Linked DNA regions of Mus musculus. The protein of the gene in region 1 binds, or shares a complex with, the protein of each later gene. Links are inferred from orthologs where the notes say so. Each region holds a gene or a part of one and is shown in the gene's direction. Other genes may lie near its edges.

Region 1 (3,646 bases):
CCTGACTGTCCTGGAACTCCACTTTGTACCCCATGCTGACCTGGAGCACAGAGTTCCACCTGTCTCTGCCTCCTGAGTGCTGGGACTAAAGGCAGCCAGAGGTCTCATGAGCACTGGATTTTATACCACTGCTCTCCTCACTTTATCCATTGCATTGTTTCCTGTTATCATGTTTATGAACTGTTACTAAGAGAATCTCGCAGTGTCCTGTGTGACTCTGAGCTGTGAAGTATTCTGTGCCGGAATGTACATGTTTCTCGGTGCATATCAGTCTCAGAGTTTGTTAGGAATATGCAAGTTTAATAGCTTTGACCCTTTTTTTTAAATGTATGTCTCTGTGTGTGTTGCTTCCATATGTCTGTACACCATTTGTGTGGCTGCTATTCTTGGAGGCCTAGAGAGGGTATCAGGTCTGGAGCTAGTAGCTATTGAAGACAAGCCCCTCTACATCTCTCCAGCATCTGCAATGCTTACCAGGAATGCCTTTACTTTTGAATATATTTGCTATATTTTTTCCTCCTGAACAGACTTTTTTTTTTTCTTTTTTGAGACAGGGTTGCATGTATCACAGGCTTATCTCAAACTTGATATATACTTTGACCCTTTTTCCACCTACCAGTGTTGGAGTTACAGGGGTGTTGTAGCATGGCTGCTATATGTATTGTTGACAACCAGTCTCAGGCTTTGCAAGCCCTCTACCAACAGCTACATTTCCACCTGCTGTTGGTTTGAGACAGGATCGTTGTACACCTGGTTAGTCTCAAACTAAGATAGTCCTCTTTCCTCAGGCTCTTAAGTCTTACTTTTACAGGTGTGCTCCACCAGCCTGGGCATTCTTATAGGTAGTGGAGGTTTCTTAATTCTATTGTACATGATAATTGTATTCTTCCATCTGTTTCTTGGGGTGACGTAGGTTATGCTGTGATGAAATGTGAAAAAAGTTTTTTGTTTTTTTAAATCAGTGTTTTATATTTTACTCCCTGATTAAGCTCTAATGATACTTGGGAGTATATAGCAAGCCTTCTAAGTGAATTCATTGCAAGAAAAGCTTACTTAGGCTGGGCGTGGTGGCGCACGCCTTTAATCCCAGCACTGGGGAGGCAGAGACAGGTGGATTTCTGAGTTTGAGGCCAGCCTGGTTGCAGGACAGCCAGGGCTACACAGAGAAATCCTGTCTCAAAAAAAAAAAAAAAAAAAAAAAAAAGCAAAGCAAAGCTTACGTAGTGCCACATCTGTCACCAGGATGAAAACGATGACGACGATGACTGGAACCCTTGCAAAGCAGCTGGGGTGTGCCTCATGCTCCTGTCCACCTGCTGTGAAGATGACATTGTGCCGCATGTCCTTCCCTTTATTAAAGAGCACATCAAGAACCCTGACTGGCGATACCGGGATGCAGCAGTGATGGCTTTTGGCAGTATCTTGGAAGGACCAGAGCCTAATCAACTGAAACCATTAGTCATACAGGTAAAGCCCGGGGAAGTTTTAGATTTGAAATGGAATGGGGGTGGAGAGTGCGCACATGTAATATATGTGTGACTCTAAATAATCACAAAGATTTCCAAATAATTGAATGGTTCGTAGCACAGGCCTACAAACCCAAATCACACATTCTTGTGGGGATTAACAGGTCAGTTGCTCAAGGGTGCCACCCTTAACTGGATAATAGTGAGACCATCCTATGCTATGCAATACATTTCCTGTCTTAGTATAGTTTCTTGTCATTAATGGTGAAATATATAACTTTTAAAATTTAGTCATGACCAAGAAACTTGAAAAAAAGAAAAGGCTTTACCTTATATCTCTTAACTTAGCACTTGTTTTCTGTAATTTTTGGAGAGCAGGATATGGAGCTCTCACTATGAAGATTGTCTTACCAGGATCTTTTCTTATTTTCTTTTTTTTAAATGCTACATTGTAAGCATTTTCCTGTTGCTTTTGGACTGGAGAGCCTCCACATATATCCCAGGGTAGCCTACTGCCTCAGCCTGTGAGTGCTGCCATATCCACTAGCTCTGAGCTCCAGGGCTCACAACGAATGTCTTCACTCAGCCTTCTAAGCAAATGGGAATTATACTGTGCAGTGCTTAGCCATTTACTCTGTGTTTGTTTGTTTGTTTGTTTGTTTGTTTGTTTGTTTAGGGTCCTGTGTGTTGGGCCTTAAATCAGGATGTGGGGTGATGCTGGCCTTGAACTCCAGATTTTTCTACTTCCACTACCCAAGTGTTGGGTAGATAGGCTCACCCCCCCATTTCTATAATTTTTAATGGTATTATTCTAGTCTTTGAACAAAATTTACATTATGTAATGTAGTCTTTCTTATGGAAATATTTTTATTTTGCTGGTATAAATGACAGAAGAGCTCATGGTAATTTAATTTTGTGCATAAAGAACTGAGTCTGTCAGGATAGAAGCCAGTGCCACTGTGATCACTTCTTGTCTTTACCTGTTCCATATAGACTGCTTGAAAGTATCCACTACAATCTTGAATCATATATGGAATTTGGTGAAGGGAAAGAACATTTTAAACTGTTTTGTTTACTGTTATTATTTTGTTTTACAAAGGATCTAAGAACATTCTATCATTATATGGGGCCAGGGATTGTTACTATTTCACATGAGGTCTTTGTAACTCAGGCTGGCATCAAACCTGGTACATACATAACACATACTAGCCACGGGTGCCCTTCGCTGCCCTTAGATCCCAAGTGCTGCAGATACAGGCATGTGCCACAATGCCCGTGAGTATTTCTTCTGAATGATAGTCGTTATGAATTCCTTTTGTTTTGCTTTATTGTATTTACAGGCTATGCCCACCCTAATAGAACTAATGAAAGACCCCAGTGTAGTTGTTCGAGACACAACAGCGTGGACTGTGGGCAGGATCTGTGAGCTGCTGCCTGAAGCCGCCATCAACGATGTCTACCTGGCACCCCTTTTACAGTGTCTGATTGAGGGCCTCAGTGCTGAGCCCAGGGTGGCTTCAAATGTGTGCTGGGTAAGGGATTTTCTTCCTGGTGAAGGCAGGAGCTTGTCCGAGCCATTAGGAGGTGTGGGAGAGAAAGGTTACTTGTCTCATTGAAAGGCGTGCTCTGAGTTCTGTCTCTTAATGTCTTGAGAAGCCAGAGGGAACTGTACTCCGATTCGTTCCCAGAGCACTTGGACTGCACCTGCTGTACTCCTATGCTTGTTTTTAGATGAAAAGCTTTGTTTAAATGGGGTTTTTTGTTTTTATAACAAGGAAAAAGACAGGGATGAAAGCCAAAGGGGGTAGGCAGCCTCTGTGCTGACTCTGTAGGCTGTGTAACTTACTGGGGATAGAGTTTGGGAAAGGAGGAGTGGGGCTAAAATCCTGTGGTCTGTGTGTGTTTGAGACAGTTTTTCTATATAGCCCCGACTGTCTTAGAACTCAGTCTGTAGACGAGACAGGTCTTGAACTCACAGAGATCTGCCTGCCTCTGCTTCCATCACCCGGCTAAAATCCTTTTTTAAGAGTGTAAGAATAGGAAATGGTAGGCCTTAGTAAAAGAATTCTGCCACTTAGAGAGCTGGGCAGATGACTAGGCATCCACAGTATAAATACTTGAGGTATATGAGTGTTTGGTCTGTATGCATTTATATATTCCTTGTATCTGGCTGGTTCCAA
Region 2 (4,119 bases), on another chromosome or scaffold:
CCAGATCAATTAGGGCTCCAGCATCTTTGGGGAAGGGTTATCACAGAGTGTCACAGGTTCAAACTTTCTCTTTTCGTGCCATGTAAACATGTCTAACAGTTACAAATTCTTAACCACTTAAAGGACGTTATGGAAATTCCCGGGTTTCTTTTTAAGGTGGGAAGAAGCCAACTTTTTTTTTTTTTTTACAAGTATGAAGTTTAAAGGAATCAAGGGAAAGAGACAAGGGCTTCTGATGAGAGGGAACCCCGCCCAAGACAGCTGAAAGCTTTAACTGCTGGCGAGCAGCAAGGCTTAGGGGAGGGGAGGGGTGAGAAGTCCTAGGAGTACCCACCCCAGAAGTCTGTAGAGCATCACAGCCCAGGTCTGACAAAGGTCTTTGAGTGACACTAGCCTCCTAGAGAGTCAGATGAAATTTTCCAGCAGTATTGTCTAGAAGGCAAACTTCTTTGAGTGGTTCCCATGTTCATTTCAGCGTGATCTAGGACCTGGGGGGAAACTAGTATTCACACACACACACACACACACACACACACACACACACACACACACACCTCTAGACCCACAATCAGTAACTCACAACTTTCTCCCCCACCCCCCACCCCCACTCCCTGCCCAGCAGCACTGAGAAGCTGAAGCAAATGGGCACTCAGTGAATCTTTATCAGGACATAGAGTAGGTTATCAGAAGAAGGTGAGAAAGAAGGACTCTGCGCATTCCAGGTCGTCTGTGATCACAAAGTGGGTCTTCTTCCTTGCTCACACACCCGTTCTAGGACCTGCTCCAGACGTGATGTCCCCAACCCTTCCCAAACAGTAAGACCCAAAATCGCCTTTGCTCTTCTGGGTGCTAGGTTTAGTCCCCTCCCCAGGAGAAGGCCACACCAGGCAGGAATGCAGTGCAATGCGAGCTTGCAAGCGAGCTTGGGACTCTTGGGATTCTCAGGCCACCCGGGGTTCCTCCTTGCTGTTTGTAGGGACCTGGACTCCTGGACCTGCCACTCAGGCGACAGCAGGCCGGTTCAGGAGGAGGAGAGCGTCAGATCGGCCCACGCGGGCCAGGACTGGGGTGGGGCTCCGTGGCTCCGGGCTCCCCTGTGCTCCCCGCCCCCGCCGGCCCGCTCACCCCTGCCTGCTCCGCCGGCGCGCGTTCCTCGGGCGCCACCTCTTTGCGACTCGCTCACTTCTCAGCAGGTTGGCCCCGGAGCGTGTGAACCTTCCAGGGCTGGGCTCACAGCTACTCTCCAACCTGCGCCGCCCCAGCTGGGCCGCTCCGCCCCGCTGCCGGAACCCGCCCTCGCGGCCACCTGGCCCTCGCATCCACGACACGCGCGCCTGCAACTTGTTCAAGGGCGTTGTGGAATCAACTTTCCGGAAGCAACCAGCCCACCGAAGGAGGTAGACCGACAGCTATGTATATATACGCGCTCTGCCGCAAGTGGCTGTGCACCCAGAGGCCCGGTGCGCAGGACAGCTGACTCCTGAGGAACACCCGCGTTTGAAGAGGGGTTTGACCTGCCCCACGACCCAGAGTGCTGCCGCCAAGACTAATTAGACATTGCTATGGGAGCCACAGCAACGCGCCACGCATCCCCGACGCCTATGTAAAACGCCCGGTTTTCGCTCTTCTTTCAGAGGAAGCTCTCTGATTGCTTTTTCCCCTCTCGGGTCCCTTTTTGCCTGTGCGGTTTGAGAGAGGCGCAGTTAGAGGCGCTGATTCCTACACAAGTAAGTGCTCAGGGGCTCGGAGACACTTTTTTGCTTTCTTTTTCTTGTTTTCTTTTTTCCTCCTAACTTGTGAGATGCCCTCGACTTTGGAGTGGCTGTTGGGAAGCCACGGGGTTCCAAAAGAGGGAGCGGGGCAGTGCGAGGAAGAGATGGAGAGCCGGGACTGACCCTCGGGTTCCACTCTTGCAGGTCCCCAGAGCCAGCGAGCGGCACGATGCTGCGGAGGCTGGTTCAGCAGTGGAGTGTCCTGGTATTCCTGCTCAGCTACTCCGTGCCCTCCCGCGGGCGTTCGGTGGAGGGGCTTGGCCGCAGGCTGTAAGTACCGGTCTTCCTCCTGGGGTGAGGGGTGGGGAAGACCAGCGCCAGCTGAGGCGGGCGATGCTGAGGAAGCCTAGGGGTCCCTGATGGTCCCAACCTGAGTTGGACACAGTCACGGGGTACCTGCTAGCAAGGGGCTGAGCCCAGGAAAGCCATCTAGAGAGCTGGTGAGACCCCAAAATGGACAGGCACGAAACAAGTTTGATGTGCCTTTCCATAAGAGGGAGTCTTTTTCAGAACCTGGGCCGGCAAGATATCTGTCTGCAGGGAACCACCAAAGTTACTTTATCCACCGAGAGGTTCTGAAACTCAGCAGGAAACTGGGGGATTCAGGAACTGTCTGTGTGCCTCTGTGTGTGTCTGTGTGTGTCTGTGTGTGTCTGTGTGTGTGTCTGTGTGTGTGTCTGTGTGTCTGTGTCTGTGTGTGTGTGTGCGCGCACACAAGCGAGTGGATATGTCTAAATGTGGGTGGCAGTCTGTGTGTGAAAAGCAAAAACGTTGTGTCTAGTTTTATTATGAATGACATAATTTTAAGCATATAAAACAGGACTGTGTTACATAACAAAGCATATTATATAATTTAGTAGTAACAACTTTTTAATGGCAAACGTCCAACTTTAGTATCGATACCATTCAGGAAGGCGGGTGTGCTTGTCTCCAAAATGGACTTTAGGCGTGGAAACTTTCTTTTTCCTGGAATTATTGCTAACGGTTCTTTAATCCGGAGTCGAAATATTTGCATTGTGGTCTGAAAGCTTGTAGTTCGGCATTCTCAGCTGGTGGTTGAGTTTTTGATTTCTTAAAGAGTGATTTTGACTTTGAGATAAGAATACATCTAAGAACACCAGCAAAATATCGCCGCAGTGTTTGGGAAGTAGTAGGCATGCTTGAATCTGTCTGTCTCATCGATGTCGATGTAATACCGTCTAGGGCTGCTCTCTTAGCACAGACTCTGTTCAAGATGGGAAAACCATAAAGTTTAAGAAATGAGTCGTTTGGCTCTGGAGAAGGCATTAGGAGGACTTGCTCACCTCACAAGAGAAGCAGCAATATCTACCTAATATTTACAGTCAGGTTCCTGGTGCTTCTTGTAAACTCCCGAGGGTATACAAAAAGGCGACTGTTCAGCGCCTGCTTCTGGTCTATTCTTATTAGTTCGGCAGAAAATCTTTAAATGAAATTACTTTAGACATGTCTGGATCTTGGCACGAAAATGAAACTCTATTATGAATCTCCTAAGGCAAGTTGTGTAGAGCATTGTACTGGAGATAAGGCAGCATTGTCCCAAGAGTGAGTGCACTGCTGGCTTACTTCTCGAAATTGTCTTGAGACTTTTCCCTCATTTTTGAGACTTGTGTGAAATTCAATTACCTAACATCCAAATATAAATACAGATGAGCTGAAATTTTTTTTTAAAAAAAGCACACTTACATACTGTATTTATTTGGATAAGAATTTCTGTCTTGGAACAGAGCCAACTTTTTCTTTAAAGTTGCTTAATACCTATTTTCTCTTTTGAGAGAGAGTAAATGAGCCATGCTTGAGTCTACAATGACGGAATAAAAATAGCACTAAGCTGTCCTTACAGCTGTTTTTAACTCTTTCTTTGTTGCATATTATAGAACTACTCCTCAGAAACCATTCGGCAGCTAGGGACTCTGCTCTCGTTCTGTTTGTAGGTGAAATATAATAGTGTAGTTAAACGCTCACACTTGGCCATGGTTAATAAAACTGTGAGATACTCACTACCACACCTAATGCTTAATAGCACATCACATCACAATGGAGGTTTTTTTTTTTTTTGAGGGAGTTAAAATCATCATAGCCAAATGGAGGGTTTTTAAAAACTCTTTATTTTTGCACACATGCTGGACAAAACATTTATGGACTACTTCCCAAGATCAGGCTAGCTCCATGAAAGAAATTCTAACTTACCGTCAAATTGTAATATCCAATTTTAGGAACACTGCTTAAGATATATTGATTTTGTTTTTTTAAGCTAAAGATTGGTACCTCTTTAGAGACAGGAGACTATTGTCGGTGTGCTTCCTACACCATTGGAAGGTAAATAGTA

Evidence for each region. Proteins that work in one complex are often made in the same cells at the same time.
Region 2: the proteins of Kpnb1 (region 1) and Pthlh are in contact, whole or in part, in a crystal structure (PDB 1M5N), measured with the Homo sapiens proteins. The link is inferred for Mus musculus from reciprocal best matches to the Homo sapiens genes KPNB1 and PTHLH. Residues at the interface, in NP_002256.2 of Homo sapiens: Val55, Tyr104, Pro106, Gln111, Glu152, Tyr156, Gln159, Asn196, Leu199, Asn200, Gln239, Glu274, Gln278, Glu281, Asp288, Ile295, Ser298, Glu299, Asp339, Asp340, Trp342, Val350, Met353, Glu395, Trp430, Arg434, Glu437, Asn469, Trp472; in NP_945316.1 of Homo sapiens: Tyr103, Thr105, Gln106, Glu107, Thr108, Asn109, Lys110, Val111, Glu112, Thr113, Tyr114, Lys120, Thr121, Pro122, Gly123, Lys124, Lys125, Lys126, Lys127, Lys129.

Annotation. Positions count from the first base shown.
Region 1 is NC_000077.6:97,170,874-97,174,519, reverse strand, and holds part of Kpnb1 (importin subunit beta-1), read left to right. Parts: intron 1-1,242; coding exon 1,243-1,467; intron 1,468-2,806; coding exon 2,807-2,998; intron 2,999-3,646.
Region 2 is NC_000072.6:147,261,193-147,265,311, reverse strand, and holds the start of Pthlh (parathyroid hormone-related protein preproprotein), read left to right. Parts: upstream 1-1,298; 5' UTR 1,299-1,727; intron 1,728-1,916; 5' UTR 1,917-1,941; coding exon 1,942-2,042; intron 2,043-4,119. UniProt on the Homo sapiens protein: Neuroendocrine peptide which is a critical regulator of cellular and organ growth, development, migration, differentiation and survival and of epithelial calcium ion transport.